Cricetulus griseus: one gene and its partner. The protein of the gene in region 2 purifies or fractionates together with the protein of the main gene of each other region. This does not show direct contact. Links are inferred from orthologs where the notes say so. Each region holds a gene or a part of one and is shown on either strand. Other genes may lie near its edges.

Region 1 (7,606 bases), on a different chromosome or scaffold from region 2:
GGGCATCTAGAAACCAGATGCTTCGGGCTTGCCGGTCTCGACTCTCCTCATTTGATGGTAAAGACTTCAGCATTTCTATGACGAAGGAACAGTGTCTGAAACAAGGAAGGGAAACAGCTACACATGAGGAAAAAGCAGGCTGTGAGGAGGCACCACCAGCACATTGTCCCCATGCCCTCCACACATTCTTGAGCAAGCTGCTAGGAAGGCTAGCCCTAGCAGGGTACACAAGGTTTGATTGACAGACCCTCCTCATTGAACAAGTTAGAACAGCAAGAGAGGATAATTCCTAAGACCTCCATTGTACATGCACCTTGCCCCCACCACCACCACCAGCACGCACGCACGCACGCAAAAAGAGTAGGACTGGAGAGATGGCTCAGCAGTTAATAGCACTCGCTACTCTTGCAAAGGACCCTGGTTTGTTTCCTAGCACTCACACTGGGGCCACTCACAACTGCCTGTAACTACAGATCTAGAAGATGCAATGACATCTTTTATTGGCACCCATCCCCACATCATACATACACATAAACATGGATAATCTCATAAAAAAAGAAGAAAGGGGTAATTAGAAGAAAAAACTCAGGCTGGGCATTGGTGGCACATGCCTTTAATCCCAGCACTTGGGAGGCAGAGGCAGGTGGATCTCTATGAGTTCGAGGCCAGCCTGATCTCCAGAATGAGTACCAGGACAGCCTCCAAAGCTACACAGAGAAACCCTCGAAAAACCTAAAGAGAAGAAAAGGCTCAGAACTAAGAAATAATCTAACCATCATTTTTTTAAAAAGTTGTTTTAATTGGGTTAATCTCTGTTATTTAAACTAAATATACAATATCTAAAAATGTGTATTTAATTTTAGAAACCTTTTCCAGCATGCTGTCACATCTGTCACGCTGATTAGCACTCATGCCAATGCCAGTGATCATCAACAACATCAACACAACAGTGGGGTCTGGGGCTAGCTTTGGTGCCAGGCCCCGGATTACAGGACCCTGCCACCATCTTTCCAGCTACACATGAGCCAATCCTCTTCCTTGAATCTGCCCAGGCCTGAAAGCCTAGTGTCAAAGCTCACTCCTCCTCCCACCGCTGAGCAGACACCTCCCCACTGACTCCGAGTGCTATCAGCAAAGTCTTGCTTTGTGTCCGACTCCCGTTTCCTGACTCACAGATGCTCCCTCTGCCCATGGATACCTGTTCTCTTCAATCATCTTCAGTATGTCTTCTGATGTGACCTTTCTGAAAGCTTCTGATGGGCTCTCAAGGGCATCATACTCAGCCTGGGACAGAACTGGTTGCAGGTTAAGAACATGACTGACCAAAATGGAAACCCACTGAGGTAAGTCATCTCACGGGGCCTCATTTCCCAGGCATGAAAGGCTAAGGCCCATGGAGGAAGCAGGGTGGAGCGCAGAAACCAGATTCTTAGACTCCAGCCTAGGGGTCACTTCCTACTTGGACTGCCCCCCTCCACTTCATTACCAGAGCCTCTGTTAGCACTCTCCAATTAGCCAGACCCAATGAGCAGTAGAGTTCTATATTCCAACCCTCCTTTCAGTATGTCTGCTCTAGACTTTGATACCAGCCAACTCTAAGGTTATATTCTGACTATCTGTGGAGAATGACCCCCACAGGGCTAAGCTGTGCCCGTTGTCCTGTTACTGAATAATGGGTTTGAGTCCCAGGAGTGGGTCCCTCCACTGATGAAGAAGCCGAACTGACCAACCAACCTCTTGTTAACAGCACTGGGGTGTGGTAAAAGTTTGGATGTTGCATTTATTAATGTCACAGGACCATGACCACCCATACACAGCCTGGTTCTGCCAATGGATACAAACATCATAGCCTGCAAATTAGGCACCTTTCCAATGCAAGGATACTGTCTTCAAATCTGTACACGTCTTCAGGCTTGGTTGCATCAGCATGGCAGGGAGGAAGGTAGAGGGAGTCATCTTGCAAGTCATCCTGCATGGCATCGCTGACCAGAGCTTTCAATTCAAGGAAATTCATATGAGTGTCCCCCTGTCTGGCTGCAGGCTCCCCCACACGCCATGAACCCTATGCAATGGAGACCACATGGTCCAAAACTCAAATCTGAACACCTGCCAAGATCTGAACTGACCATCAGGCTGATGCTCCAGGAGTCCCAGCCATGCAGAAGGTGGATACAGTGTGTTTGCTCTCAACTAACTCAGAATAGGGTTAAAAAGACGCGTGCTGGGGGCTGGAGAGATGGCTCAGTGGTTAAAAGCACTACTTGTTCTTCCAAAGGTCCCGAGTTCAATTCCCAGCAACCACATGGTGGCTCACAACCATCTATAATGAGATCTGGTGCCCTCCTCTGGCCTGCAGGCAACATGTAGACAGAACACTGTACACATAATAAATAAATAAATTAAAAAAAAAATAGACTTGTGCTAATAATCACTACACAACATCAGAGAAGCTATGGCCACAGTTTCTCGTGGTTCCAGAGTCATTCCTGAGCAGGCCCTCAGCAAGTAGCAAGAAAGAATCCAGCCTTCAAGCCCACCACTTGCATATGGAGGTGAGTGACAGATCTCAAGTCTTTGTGGGCATACTCTTTACCCAAGCTCCAGCTGCTTACCGTTCACACCCTTTGTATCAATGATGTTCTCTGCAGCTTTAGTTACTGTGAGATTCAAAGATTCGCTGCCAACTTTGTTCATTCTCCTGGAGTTCAGGGACCGCTTCTGCTTGGTGCTTCCAAAGGCTTCAATGCAAGAATCCAACTGTGTAAGAAACAAATCCAATCAGGAAGGACAGGCTGGGCAGGCTGACTGTTCCACGTATGTAAGCACAAGCATGCTCTGGGCTCCCTGAGCCAGGATTACCTCATCTGTCAATCCTTCTCATACCTGTCCACCTCAGAGGTCTGTTCCACATCAGAACTGGGATTTGATAATACTGACTCCCAGTTACAAATCTATAGTTAGTTTTCCATCAGTACAAAAAGACAACTTGACTGGAATTAGGGTTGGTAAATCTGTGGCACACAGCCTGCCAATATGCTATTTGCTCCAGTAACAGGACACTGTTAATAAACCACTCAGTCTCCCTGAACCACAGAGGAGTCTTCTCTTTGCAGTGGTCCAACAGCACTGCAGGTTCAGTCTGCCACCCTGTGGTGAGATCACTTCGCTAAGAATCCTTGATCTACACCGAGAAGCTCAAAGAACTTACTTTGTTTGCATGAGTCTCAAGGTACAACCATTTTCTACAATGTGGACCAAAACCTAAGATGTTTTCTGCTATACCTCCATCAGCCCAGAGAACAGGGTGCAAATACTAACATTAGCTGTGTTCACCTGGCCAGGGCAGCAGCTCTCTGGGAGACCTGAAGGCCTCTGCAGGTAGCAACCAGGCAGAGCCACAGACCAATTGAACTGGAACAGCCAGAGAGGCCCACATTCAAGGGCGCTGTGACACTGATGGGTAGACCAGGCCCTGAAGGAGCTTCCCTAACTACTGCTCACCTTTTCCCTGAAAGTCTTGGCCTGGTTCTCTGGAGGAGGCTCCTGTTCAATAGCGTCTTCTATAGAAACACAGGAAGAAAGCACACTATGAGACTCAGAAAAACACAGAACAGGAAGAAAGCACACCATGAGGTTCACAAGTGAGTATTTTACTGTTTTGTTTTTTAATGGGGTCTCACTATGTTGCCTAAGAAGGTCTTACACTTGTGAGCTCAACTGATTCCCTGCTCTCAACCCCACAAGTAGGGGAGACTGCAGCCAACTGTGCTCAGCTCTGCAAGGCCTTAAAAATATTAATAGTGCTTGGTATTTATTTAATATTCATCTAAGGAAAACAGATTTCCTTATTCCGGATTTCCCTAACATGAATGTACACTGTGAATACTGACTGTATACCTCAGTGCACAAGTAAGAGAACTGGGTAATGGGTGTCCTCTGCTCCAACCTCTTACTTCATAAACAGGGAAAATGAGGCCTGCAGACACAGTGACTGGCCCAGGCATTTTCCAAGCCAGGCCAGAGGGAACAGAAACCAAGTCCTCAGTTCTTCCTGTCAGTAGATTTGCTTTTCTAGTCAAAGACCTAAAGGCAGGTGTGAACATAATTCGGATGTTTTCACTCCCCAACTTCCCTCAGAGTACTCAAGGAGTGAGCAGCATAACCTGGCGGGCAAAAACACAAGCTCTGCAATGGCCCTGCCTGAGTTAGCTCAGCAGCAGGTCACTGACTCAGCCAAGTTTCAACGCAAGGAGAGAAAAAAAAAAGCCAGGTGGCCAGGTGGTGGTGGCACACACCTTTAATCCCAGCACTAGGGAGGCAGAGGTAGGCAAATCTCCTTAAGTTCAAGGCCAGCCTGGACTACAGATGGAGTTCCAGGACAGCCAGAACTACACAGAGAGACTCTGTCTCAAAAAAACAAAGAAAAAAAGCAATTAGAGTACATATGAAGTAATCATGGGTGCTTATGAAAGGTGTTCAGAATAGTGATGGGCACACAGCAAGGACCCAAAACTAAAGTTGTGCATGTGCTAGCCAGAACAAGCCAGGGCTTTAAACTGCACGAAACACAAATGTGTCTCGTCAAGAGTTAAACAACCCCAGAGTGTGAAGAGATGACTCAGCAGTTAATAGCACTTGATGCCCTTGCAAGAGGACCCAAGTTCAGTTCCATATGACAGCATCCATATGACAGGTAACAACCATGTGTAACTCCGGTTCCAAGGGATCCAACTCCTCTTCTGGCTTCCATGAGCAATGCATGCTTGTGGTACACAGACACACATGCAGACAACAGAACCATACACATAAAATAAAATAAATCTTTTTTTAAAAAAAGAATCAAATGTGGTGGGCTGGGAGAAGGCCAGCAGGTAAAGGTGTTTGTCACCAAGTTTGATGACTGGAGTTCCCATTCCTGGATCCACATATTAGAAGGAGAAAATCAACTTGCTTGAATTGGCCGTTGACTGCCACACATGCATTGTGGTGTACACACACACACACACACACACACACACACACACACACTGATAAACCAATGTAATAAAATTTCACATCTCCATTGGAGATGGTTCAGTGTGTTAGAGAGCTTGCTATCCACACACGAGGACCTTGGTGTGAATCCCCAGAACCCATGTGAAACTGGGCATGGTGGCACACATCTAGGATCCAAGAGCTCCCACAGTAAGATGGGAAGCCGAGACAACAGAACCCCAGATGCTCAAGGGGTAGCCTGCCAGCCTACTCAGAGCCAACAGACAGTGTCTCACACAGGTCAGTCAGGACCTCCCTATGTGTGCTGTGGCATGTGAACACCTGTACTCCCACACAAGAAGAATTAAGTCTGTGGTGGGAAAGAATGTACTATGAGACACCTCCCTTAATATTCTGTACTGATGACTATTCTTCTTGCTTTAAAGGCTGGTTTCTGAGACAATATCTGTAAATGCTGAAGAGATGGGCTCTTATTTGTCATACAGTCCTTAGTTTAGTACTTGAAGAATGTAAGGAATCAATAAGTGATTCATTTAAAAAAAATATTGCTGGGTGGTAGTGTCGAACACCTTTAATCCCAGCACTCAGGAGGCAGAAGCAAATGGATCTCTGTGAGTTCAAGGCCAGCCTGGTCTACAGAGCGAGTGCCAGGACAGGCTCCAAAGCTACACAGAGAAATCCTGTCTCAACCCCCCCCCCCCCCCGCCCCGCCCCACAAAAGGTTATATATCCATATACCTTTTCAAATTAAAAAGAAAAAAGAAAAATGAGAACACTCGGCAAGAAGGCATCCTATTATGGTTGAGGATAAGCTGTGTTTGCCAAATAGACACCAAGTTCTGAGTTCACACCCCTTTACCATATAAACCTCTCACCATACACAGCACTCTCAAGTTGATGGCAGGAGGACCAGAAATCCAACGTCATCTTCAGCTACCCAGAAAATTCAAGGGTCTACATGAGACCTTCTCTCAAAAAGGTATATGTGGAGGAAGCCATTTAGAAAAAAATTACAAATGCCTTCTAGAAAACAAAAATGAACTAATCCAACAAACCCAAACGATGTATTTAACTGAATATTCATTTAACAGAGTATTCATTTCCGGAACCTACCAGCAAACAGTGGCTGCATGTTGAACAACTCAGCATCATATACTTCCATCTGCCCAGAGGTCTTATTCAGAATTCCCACAAAGTGTCTGAGGAAAAAAGTAATGATACAATAGTAGTTTAACCAAAAGGTTATTATTTACACAATCCTCTCTTTTTCCTATTCACATATCCCTAGCTTCTTTCTGCCAGAAAAAGGCATCCACTTGCTCACATGTAACAATAATCCCTGCACGGAGAGGAAACAGTAGGTGATGAAGAGGAAGGAGACATAAAATGGTTGTGGACTGAAAAAGCCACCAGATGGTTCTGATAACCAATCACATTTAAAGTCCCAGCACTTGGGAGGCAGAGGCAGGAGGATCTCTTGAGTTCGAGACCAGCCAGGTCTACAAGAGCTAGTTCCAGACAGCCTCCAAAGCCACAGAGAAACCCTGTCTCAGAAAACAAAACAAAACAAAACAAAACAAAACAAATTTAAAGCCACTGCTGTTAATGGAAACCCTTTTGAGGTAATAAGAATCTAAAATTAAACAGAATTTTGGCATGCATAAATTCTTCAGGCTGGATGATGCTGTGACACAGAAGACACCAGAGGTGAGCGAAGAGCAAAGTTGCCAAAGTCATTCACTCTGACAGTGCTGGAGGGCTGCTTTGTTCCAACCCAGAGGCCTTGAAGATACAAAATCCTCTTGTCCCAAGGCAAACTTGAGGCAAGCTTTGACCTGATGATCACACATTCTAAATCAGCAGACATAGCTGTCTTTTGGGATAGGACAGTCATACATAATGTCATAATGAGGTCTTTAGGAACTCGACAAACGCAAGCCATCTTTTCCTTTCTAAGGGTGTCTACACAACAGTATATGGAATTTGTGAGTCTAGAAACACAAAGTCTTAGCAAACCTGCAGATCTCAACTACCTCCAAAATGAAGACTGAAGATAGTGTTGTCTCTGTCACTACTACAACCCTCCTAGCACCTTTGTCACTGCCCAGTTGTCCATTACCTGCAAAGAGTGTTGCATTTGAGGGCGCCAGTCCCAAAATTGTTTCCAACATAGGACAGCCTGTCTGTTTCTGCTGCCTGAAAAACAAAGGAGTGTCCAATTTACAATCAGCACTGGGCATGGCCTCCTTTTGACGTGTATAGAAGTCTTAGAATCCAGGACCAAAATGACCAGCCCTAGATATTCTCCAGGTGACCTACCCCATCATATCTACAGGAATCTAGGGTGTCTCTGGGGGACCCCAAATACCATAAGGAAGCTTCAAAGTGATAAAGTTCTGGGGGGGGGCGCCACCTGGGATTGCATGAAATTAAAAAGCTTCAAACTGGGCGGTGGTGGCCCACACCCTTAATCCCAGCACTGTGGAGGCAGGGGCAGGCGGATCTCTGAATTGGAGGTCAGCCAGCTATGTCTACTCAGTGAGTTCCAGTATAGCTAGAGCTACACGGAGAAATCCTTTTTCCCAAATATGTGAAAAGTCATCGTTTCACC
Region 2 (8,032 bases):
TTTTTTTAAAGGCACTCCCCTAGCATTCTGTCATTAGGAACCAAAGACTGGGACAAACCTGAATGCAGATATGCACAAAGCAGTGTTGTTTACTCTAGTGGAGGAGTAAACGCTGCTGCTATGCCCAAAATAGGAGAGTAGTCACACAAATGAAGGTGTCACCATTCATTACAATGTTGTTCACACAAATGAAGGTGTCACCATTCATTGCAATATTATACAGCTATTGGATACTGAGGTAGGGGCTGGAGAGAAGAATGCAGACCTGGATTCACCACCCCCAAGCACCCACATGGCACCTTACAACCACCTGTAACCCCATTTTCAAGGTGTTCAATGTCCCCCTTCTGACCTTGGTGGTCTCATACCTGCACATGGTACACATATAAGCACCCACGTGCATGCATACACACAAATAAAAAAATACTTTTTTGAAAATGCTAAGGAATCAGGAGGGTGGCACATGTCTTTAATCCCAGCATCAGGAGGCAGTCAAGTAGCTCCCGAGTTCAACACCAGCCTGGGTCTACATAGTGAGTTCCAAGACAGCCCAGGCTACATAGAGAGACCCTATCTCAAAATAAAATAAAATAAAATAAAATTGAGGGGAATTTTCACCTGACAAGGGAAGTATGTTAGACAAAAAAAAAAAGAAAACATTATAAAGGATCTTAAAGGGAAAAGTAAACAAAAGAAAAGAAAAAAGACAGCTAGACCACTCCAACGCTTGTTTTTGTTTTCTCAAAACAGGGTCTCACTATCTCTGGCTGTCCTAGAACTTACTCTGTAAACCAGCTGACCTTGAACTCACAGAGATCTACCTGCCTCTACTTCCCAGGTGCTGGGATTAAAGGTGTGCACCACACCAGCTATTTAAATTGTAAAAAACGTCCTCCTAGGTGACTTTTGTTCTTTTTCACATTAATTTTCTGCTTCAAGATTCTAACAACCATATTGTTTTAAAATCAATTTTGTTTTGGTTTTTCAAGACAGGGTTTCTCTGTGGCTTTGGAGCCTGTCCTGGAACTAGTCTCTGCCTCCCGAGTGCTGGGATTAAAGGCGTGTGCCACCACTGCCCGGCATTTAAAACCAATTTTAAAGAAAAAGAAAAATTAGGCAGGGAAACTAAAGAACCAAGGTCTGGGTTACAGAGTAGCAACACATACACAAGTAAAAAATAAAAAGGCCTAGTCATGAAATGCTGCTTGTGATCCCCCAAGATGTTCTCTGTTGTCCCTCATGAAGCAAGATTACCAAAGTCTCCTGTGGGCCACAGGGCCTTGAAATCCTGATAGCAGGTGATGTAAGTAATCAAAATTCAGACTAGAAACTGTTCCCAAAACAAATTCTTCCACCCCGGCTTCGGGTACTAGAAAAAACAAAGAACCTGATACAGAAGGAGAAGCATGACCCAATTTCACAACAGGGAGGTTGGATTATTAACAGCCAGACAATGTTACTTACAGACGTGTCGCCGCTTCGGTTGAGGTCTCATCCCCCTCAATCCTATATACTTTCCCATACATGACATACTCAAACTGGTCCGCCCTACAAACAATAGGCAAAGTTACTTTTCACAGCAATCAATAGTGTAAGAGACATTTAAAAATGGAAACTGAGCCAGGCATGGTGGCACAATCCCAGCACTCAGGAATCAGAGGCAGAGGCAGAGACAGAGGCCTGTGAGTTTTCGGCCAGCCTGACAGTCTACAGAGTAAGTTCCAGGATAGTCACGGCCACACAAAGAAACCTTGTCTCGAAAAACCAAAAAGATAGAAATAATTAAAATAGAAACTGATAACAACAAATGCCATGGAAGCGCAACCTTATTTGGCTTTCACATCAATTCAGTGAACTAGAAATGACTGTCTGTACTTTATTGATAAGGAAATGGAAGATGGAAGTAGTGGAGCTGAGAAGTAAAAGTTCAGTATATAGTCATGGCTGTCCTAACTGGCTATGTAGACCAGGCTAGCCTCAAACTCACAGAGGTCTCCTGCCTCTGCCTCCTAAATGCTGGGATTAAGTGTGTGTACCACCAGACCCAATACTCCACAGTCTTTCTGTCACACCAAAATCTAGGTTACTATGTAATCATTTTCTAGGCCTTAAAAAAGCTACATTTGCAGGGTGTGGTGGTACATACCTTTAATTCCAACACTGAGGAGGCAGAGGAGGTGGATGTCATCTGTGAGTTTGAGACCAGCTTGGTCTACATAGTCCAGGCCAACCAGGACTACAAAGTGAGACCCTGTCTCAAATAAATAAACAACTGCAGTTCACAAGCTTCCACTCACTGCTCTCACTAAGTAATCAAGCCAGTTGTTTGAAATTTTTTTCAAATTTTTTAGAGACAGGGTCTCCAGCCCAGGTTGGTCTCAGATTTGATGTGCAGCCAATGGTGTTCTTGAACTCCTCATCCTCCTGCCTCATCTCCCGAGTTCTGGAATTACAGACACAAACCATCACACCCAGTTCTGGTTGTGTGAATTCTAAGTGCAGTAATGTCTTTTTCTAGCAGTAAAATAAAGACCATTCTATGTACTACTTATCTATTTAGTCCCTCCTTTACCACCGCCTCACCTGGAAGGCCTGTCATCTGTGGGGTTGTATTCACCATCATCCAAGGTACCATCTTCATACAAAGTACTAGCTATGACCAATCGGAACTTGTCACCTGAAAAGAGCATCAAGCGGAAACCAAAGATAAAAATCACTTGCTAAAGCCAGTCGTTGGCAGCACATGCTTTTAATCCCAGTACTCAGGAGGCAGAGGCAAGCGGATCTCTGTGAGTTCGAGACCAGCCTGTTCTACAAGAGCTAGTTCCAGGACAGCCTCCAAAGCCATAGAGAAAACCTGTCTCGAAAAACAAACAAACAAACAAAAAAATTCACTTGCTAGCTCCTGTGTTGGACACTTACCCAAGTCCACTGGGTAAATCTGAATGTTCACGTCTAAGATGAGGTCCATCTTGAAAGATTCACTCTCACAGTGCAGCCGAGATACTGGGAAAGAGCGACAGACATAATTACAGGCAACAGAGTCGGGGTCGAATGCAGGAGAACAAATCTTTCAACTAGTCCACAGCCATTAGCCTTGCTCTGGGACACAGACACAGAGTGCAATCCAAATCAGATTCAGAGAAGAAAGGGAGTAAACACCTCAGCAAGTGTCAGGATCCCAAGAAAGAAGCAGAACTTCTCTGGCAGCAACCCGTCTCTAGGCTCTAAGCACACCTGGATGATTTAGACTAAACTCAACTCTGAACAAGATAGTCATTAGTCCAGAGATCCCCACTTCCTAGTAGGCACTCTGCGGAGGGAATAGGCAGGGTGTATTGAGAACTGACACCTGTCTTTAAAAATGGGGGGGGCACGCCTTTAATCCCAGCACTTGGGAGGCAGAGGCAGGTGGATCTCTGAGTTCAAGGCCAGTCTGGTCTACAAAGCAAGTTCCAAGACAGCCAGAGCTACAAAGAGAATCTGTATTGGGGGGGGGGGGGTCTGTCTCCAGGTAAAGTGACACTGAGAAGAAACAACTTCCGGATTACTGGGAAATGAATACACCAAGCAGTCAGCTGCATGAAATTTATAGAGGACTCGGCAAAGGGCTAACAATTCTTGGGGCAATACAAAACTATGGGTTAGGAAGACAGGGAGGTAACTCGCTGCACGGCCTTAAGTAACAAAATAGATCGGGCACCATCACTTCTTACTACAATACTTAAGTGTGCGAGAGAGGCGCACGGTACATACAGCACGTAATACTGAATAAGGAGTCAGAAAGGTGTCCAGGGCTTTCCCAACCCCAAAGCCAAGGGCCACCGAGGCACCAGACACCGCAAACATCATAGGAAAAGCTGTCCCAAGTTTCTCATTATGAAAAACACTGTTTCCTGAGGGAGGTACCGAGAGGGTGGGACGGGCCACTTGGGGTGGGTGGGCATGTTTGGCCTCTTCCTCACCTCCCCTACACACCTTACCTCGGTCAAATTTCTTGCCTTCTGGGTCAATGTCTTTCACATCAAAAATATCCTCGAACAGGATGCCCGCCATCGTAAGGGGCACGAGAACTGCAGAGGTGCGGAGCGCGCGGCCACCACTGGGAATTCGCGCACCCCCTCACGTGGAGAAAAGAAGACAGGGCAGAGTACCGCCCCAAAAAGCGGCAACCAGCCGCAGGGCGCATGCGCACAGGCTTCAGCAACGCAGCCACTTCCGCTGCCTCCCCTCGGGGCTCCTTCACTTCCGCCGGGAAAGGCCACCTCGGAGTGGCTCGGACCTTGTGGGCGAGTCTCAAAGCGCGGTGACTCCGCCCAAGGCGGGGACAGACTAAGTCCCACCCCCGGCGGGTACCGCGATGCGCCCGGCTCTAGGGCGCCCTCTTCAGACCCCGGATCCCGATGCTTGGAAGGCTCCGGGACCGGACCCAGCCAGGAACCTTGATCCTTGGCCCAGAGGGAGCCCGGCCCTAGCCCTTCCCTGCGGTCCGCGTGCCCGCCGAGGGCACAGTCCGTGCTGCAGGAGGGTGAAGCCGAACTCCACCCGCAGAGCGCCCGCCCAGCGGGACGCAGTGCCCAGCCCCTCGGACGGCCACCAAGGTTCCCCACGCTGGTCCGAGCTGGCTCTGACCAGCTAGACGTCACCCGAGCCGGGTCCGTCCGGTTTGGGAATTTGCCGTGATGTCACTGTCAGGGAAAGGAAAGCCCGCATTGTGCCCTCGCCTGGGGCTTCACCTCCTCGCCACGCCGGTCTTCCCTTGGCCCTGCTTGGCACTAACTCTGATCCCCTAGAACACTGCCAATTGAACTTGGTACTGCCTGTCACCCCACTACACTACCCTCTTCTGGACACTGATCCAGTGCGCTTCCACCCGACACTGGCCTTTCCCTGGGAAACGACAGCTCGCAGCGCGCTCTTTCCAGGTGCTATCTCCTTTCATCGCAGCCCCCGTACTGGGCACCGTACGCTCCCCTTGAGCACCACCCTCTGTTTGCTGAATGAGTCTTCATCCTGATGCTGTTCTTTCTACACGGATTTCTGGGCACCGTCCTCTCCAGTGGCACCAACCTAACGCTGTCCATCCTCTTTGTGCCAACGCCACACTGTTCTTATCCTTCCAAGGATCCCGAAAGACAACGTAGAGCTTCACTGGGCCGCTTCCTCGAGGCGTCAGCAGCTACTCAAGTTCCCCCTTTAAGCGATGCCTGGGAGGAGCGACCTCTGCTCCCCCACGCCCGCCTCCCAGGAGCAGCCTCCCCCGCACCAATAGCTCCCTTCCCTCGGGCCTCACCCCTTCCCGTCCCCTCCCACCTCCACCTCCGCCCCGATCTCCAGGCCTAGCAGTTCCAGGTGCACCTTCCCGGGGGAACCCGGAGGAAAAGAAGAAAGGAGGAAGGGAGGCGATAAGGGAGCGGGCTCTCAGGAATCCTCCCAGACCCGTCTGAGCCGCCAGCAAACGCGAAGCAGAGGCTGCCCCAGTCGAGTCTGGCCTGGAGAGCCCGAGATAGCTCGTCAGCAGCCCCCTGCCCCAGCCCTGGAGTCACTACATCCTCAGCCCCTCCCGCACAACGCTGCAGCCGCCCGAGAGCCCGTCCCCTCCACGTGCCAGCGGACCCGCCCCCGTCCGGCCCCGCACCCTCTCGGGGCCGGGTCAGCCCCCGGCCTCCCCAGAGAAGGGGTGCAAGATCGCGTTGCAAGCGCCCCCTGCCGCTTCTCCGGAGGCCAGGAGGCGGCTCCAATGCAGACCCCAGCCCGACCGGACGCCCCTGCAGATGGGCCAGGGCGGAGCAGCAAGCAGGGCACCGCCCTCGGCCCGCCCGCCAAGGAGGGGACGCTAGCGAGAGGCTGAGCCTGCGGCGCGCGCCCGGGGACCGTCGCACTCTGCACTCGGCCGCCGGGGCTGAGGGGACGGGACGGGTGCGGGCGCGGGCTCAGCGGGCCGGGAGCTGAGTCAAGGCCAGAGCCCGAGAAGCCAAGGGAGGCAAGAGGACAGTGCACCGAGATGGCGGCCGCCACGGCCGCGGCGGCGGCGGCGGCGGCGGGGGAAGGGATGGAGCCTCGGGCGCTGCAGTATGAGCAGACCCTGGTAAGTGAAACCTAAGGGGTGCGCTATGGCACCACTGCTGCAGGTTGCCCTAGGAAGTGTGAGCACAGGCGGCCTACCCAAGCCCGGCCTCAGCCTTCCTCAGCTGTGGAAACTGAGGTTCGGGATCCGACAGGCTATAGGTTCAGGGTGTTTGAAAGCTGCTTGCTGGTTTCTGGCTGAGACTGGTGGCCTGGAGAGGACAATGACACCAGGTGTTTGGCCCAGGTGTCCTTCCCCTTACTCCCTTCGGCTGACACGATTTTGTTTTTTCCACTTACCAAGTTACAGCACCCCAGTACCCTTTCTCGATACCTGTGAACTTTCTCCAAATGCCTATCCACATTCTACACCTTCCCTGTGTCCCTACTATGCCACAGCATTAAGCTGGACATAAAGACTGCAGGGAAGTAATCAAATCCAAACCTACCCCCTGCCTTTAAAGACTCAAAGTCCAGCATTGACAAGAACCCCTCAGTCGAACTTTTGGGAAAGGTGGCTGGCTTAGGTGGCTTGTCACCCTGGGGACCGAAGCTTGAGGGTTGATGCAGGAAGCAGGAATGGGTGTGAGAATTGGAACCTTTGTTCTAGCTGGATCTAGGCAGGTACCCCACCACCACTACCACCCACGCCCATGGAGTGTCCCTTGACCTCATCAGAAGCAGGGGTCCTGAGCTTTGAGATGACTCATAGCAAGTCAAGAGTTAAGAAGCCATTCACCCTCATGTCACTAGGGTGGGGGGCCCAAGCCCTACAGAAAGAAACTGGCCCTATGGCTCCGTTTTATCAGCTCGGGCTGGAATTTGCCCTGGAGGGTGTCAGGGAGGAACCTCCTTGAGAGAGGGCCTGGATTGTAACTGAGTCAGGGAGGTGCCCAATTACCAGAGACTGTATGAAACTGGATGACTGGGAGAGGTGGTAGGTGTGAGTGACGCTAGTGCCGGCAAGCCCTTTTGTTGGCAATGGCTGTTATCCTTGCCATGCACAGGTCAAGGAGAGGGGCATTTGGCCATGGAAGCCAGGCACCTAAACTCTGAAATGGTATCTCTTTTGCACCAGCCGCCACTCCATCTCCCTGTGTCTATGAAATGAGCTCTCAGGGTCAAGCTCTCCCTGCTCTGGCCTCTCCCACTTCCCCTCCTACCCTTTTGTCTGGCCCTCACCTCCTCCCACCTGCTGTGTTTCCACACTCTGGTCTCTTCCTCCTCCCTGCTCTCGGGTCTTTCTCCCTCTTTCCTATATAGTTCCGTTCCCTCTGCTTCTCCCTTTCCTCTGTGTCTCACCCGAGCTCTGTCTATCCCCCCCCACACACACACACACACAAACCCCAACCCCAACAGGAGCCCTTTGTGTCTTGAAGCTCCGCGGGTGGCAGCCAGAATCTACTCCTCCCCACCCCCCAACACACGCCCAGCTTGGCAGGTCCAGCCATAACTCTCTTCCCATCAGCCTTGTACCACAGTCACAGCCTTGCCATCTGCAACCTCTGCTGTCCCCAAGACCTGTCACTGGCCCCAAGTGCAGTTCCAGAGGGACTGAAATCACCCAACACTGCCTTACCCACCCAAAGAGGCTTTCCACTTTGAGCTGGGCTGCCGGGCTAATGGGGGTTTGGGAGTGGAGAATGAGGACAAGGGGATTAGGGTGGGTGGGAAGGGTGCCACTGAGTTGGTCACAGGCCAAAGGCCCAGTAGGAACGTGATAAGGATTGGGGCTGGGACCTCCTAGGCCCAGCTCAGCTGCTCTCAGCTCCACCAGCCTCTTATTGTTGCTCATACGCCCTTGACCATCCCTTAGTCTCTGACCTTCCTGCCTCCCACTTTCAGACTGTGCCTTAGGTTTTTCCATCTTTTCCCTCCTCTGGACCCTTCCCTCTCCTCCCCAGTGCCCTCACTCCTGGCTCGCCAGAAGAGGACTGATTATTCTGCCACCCCCAGAGTTGTGTCC

Evidence for each region.
Region 1: the proteins of Polr2h (region 2) and Polr1e purify together in Homo sapiens (affinity purification with mass spectrometry; 3 studies listed by BioGRID and IntAct, with this or other methods). This does not show direct contact. The link is inferred for Cricetulus griseus from reciprocal best matches to the Homo sapiens genes POLR2H and POLR1E.

The regions. Positions count from the first base shown.
Region 1 is NC_048595.1:98,424,760-98,432,365, forward strand, and holds part of Polr1e (DNA-directed RNA polymerase I subunit RPA49), read right to left. Parts: intron 7,192-7,606; coding exon 7,115-7,191; intron 6,195-7,114; coding exon 6,109-6,194; intron 3,561-6,108; coding exon 3,502-3,560; intron 2,758-3,501; coding exon 2,613-2,757; intron 1,993-2,612; coding exon 1,885-1,992; intron 1,296-1,884; coding exon 1,199-1,295; intron 96-1,198; coding exon 1-95. UniProt on the Homo sapiens protein: Component of RNA polymerase I (Pol I), a DNA-dependent RNA polymerase which synthesizes ribosomal RNA precursors using the four ribonucleoside triphosphates as substrates.
Region 2 is NC_048597.1:67,930,559-67,938,590, forward strand, and holds the start of Polr2h (DNA-directed RNA polymerases I, II, and III subunit RPABC3), read right to left. Parts: upstream 4,399-8,032; 5' UTR 4,057-4,398; coding exon 3,984-4,056; intron 3,007-3,983; coding exon 2,923-3,006; intron 2,678-2,922; coding exon 2,584-2,677; intron 1,549-2,583; coding exon 1,465-1,548; intron 1-1,464. Other genes in the region: Clcn2 (chloride channel protein 2), read left to right, coding at 6,005-6,088. UniProt on the Homo sapiens protein: DNA-dependent RNA polymerase catalyzes the transcription of DNA into RNA using the four ribonucleoside triphosphates as substrates.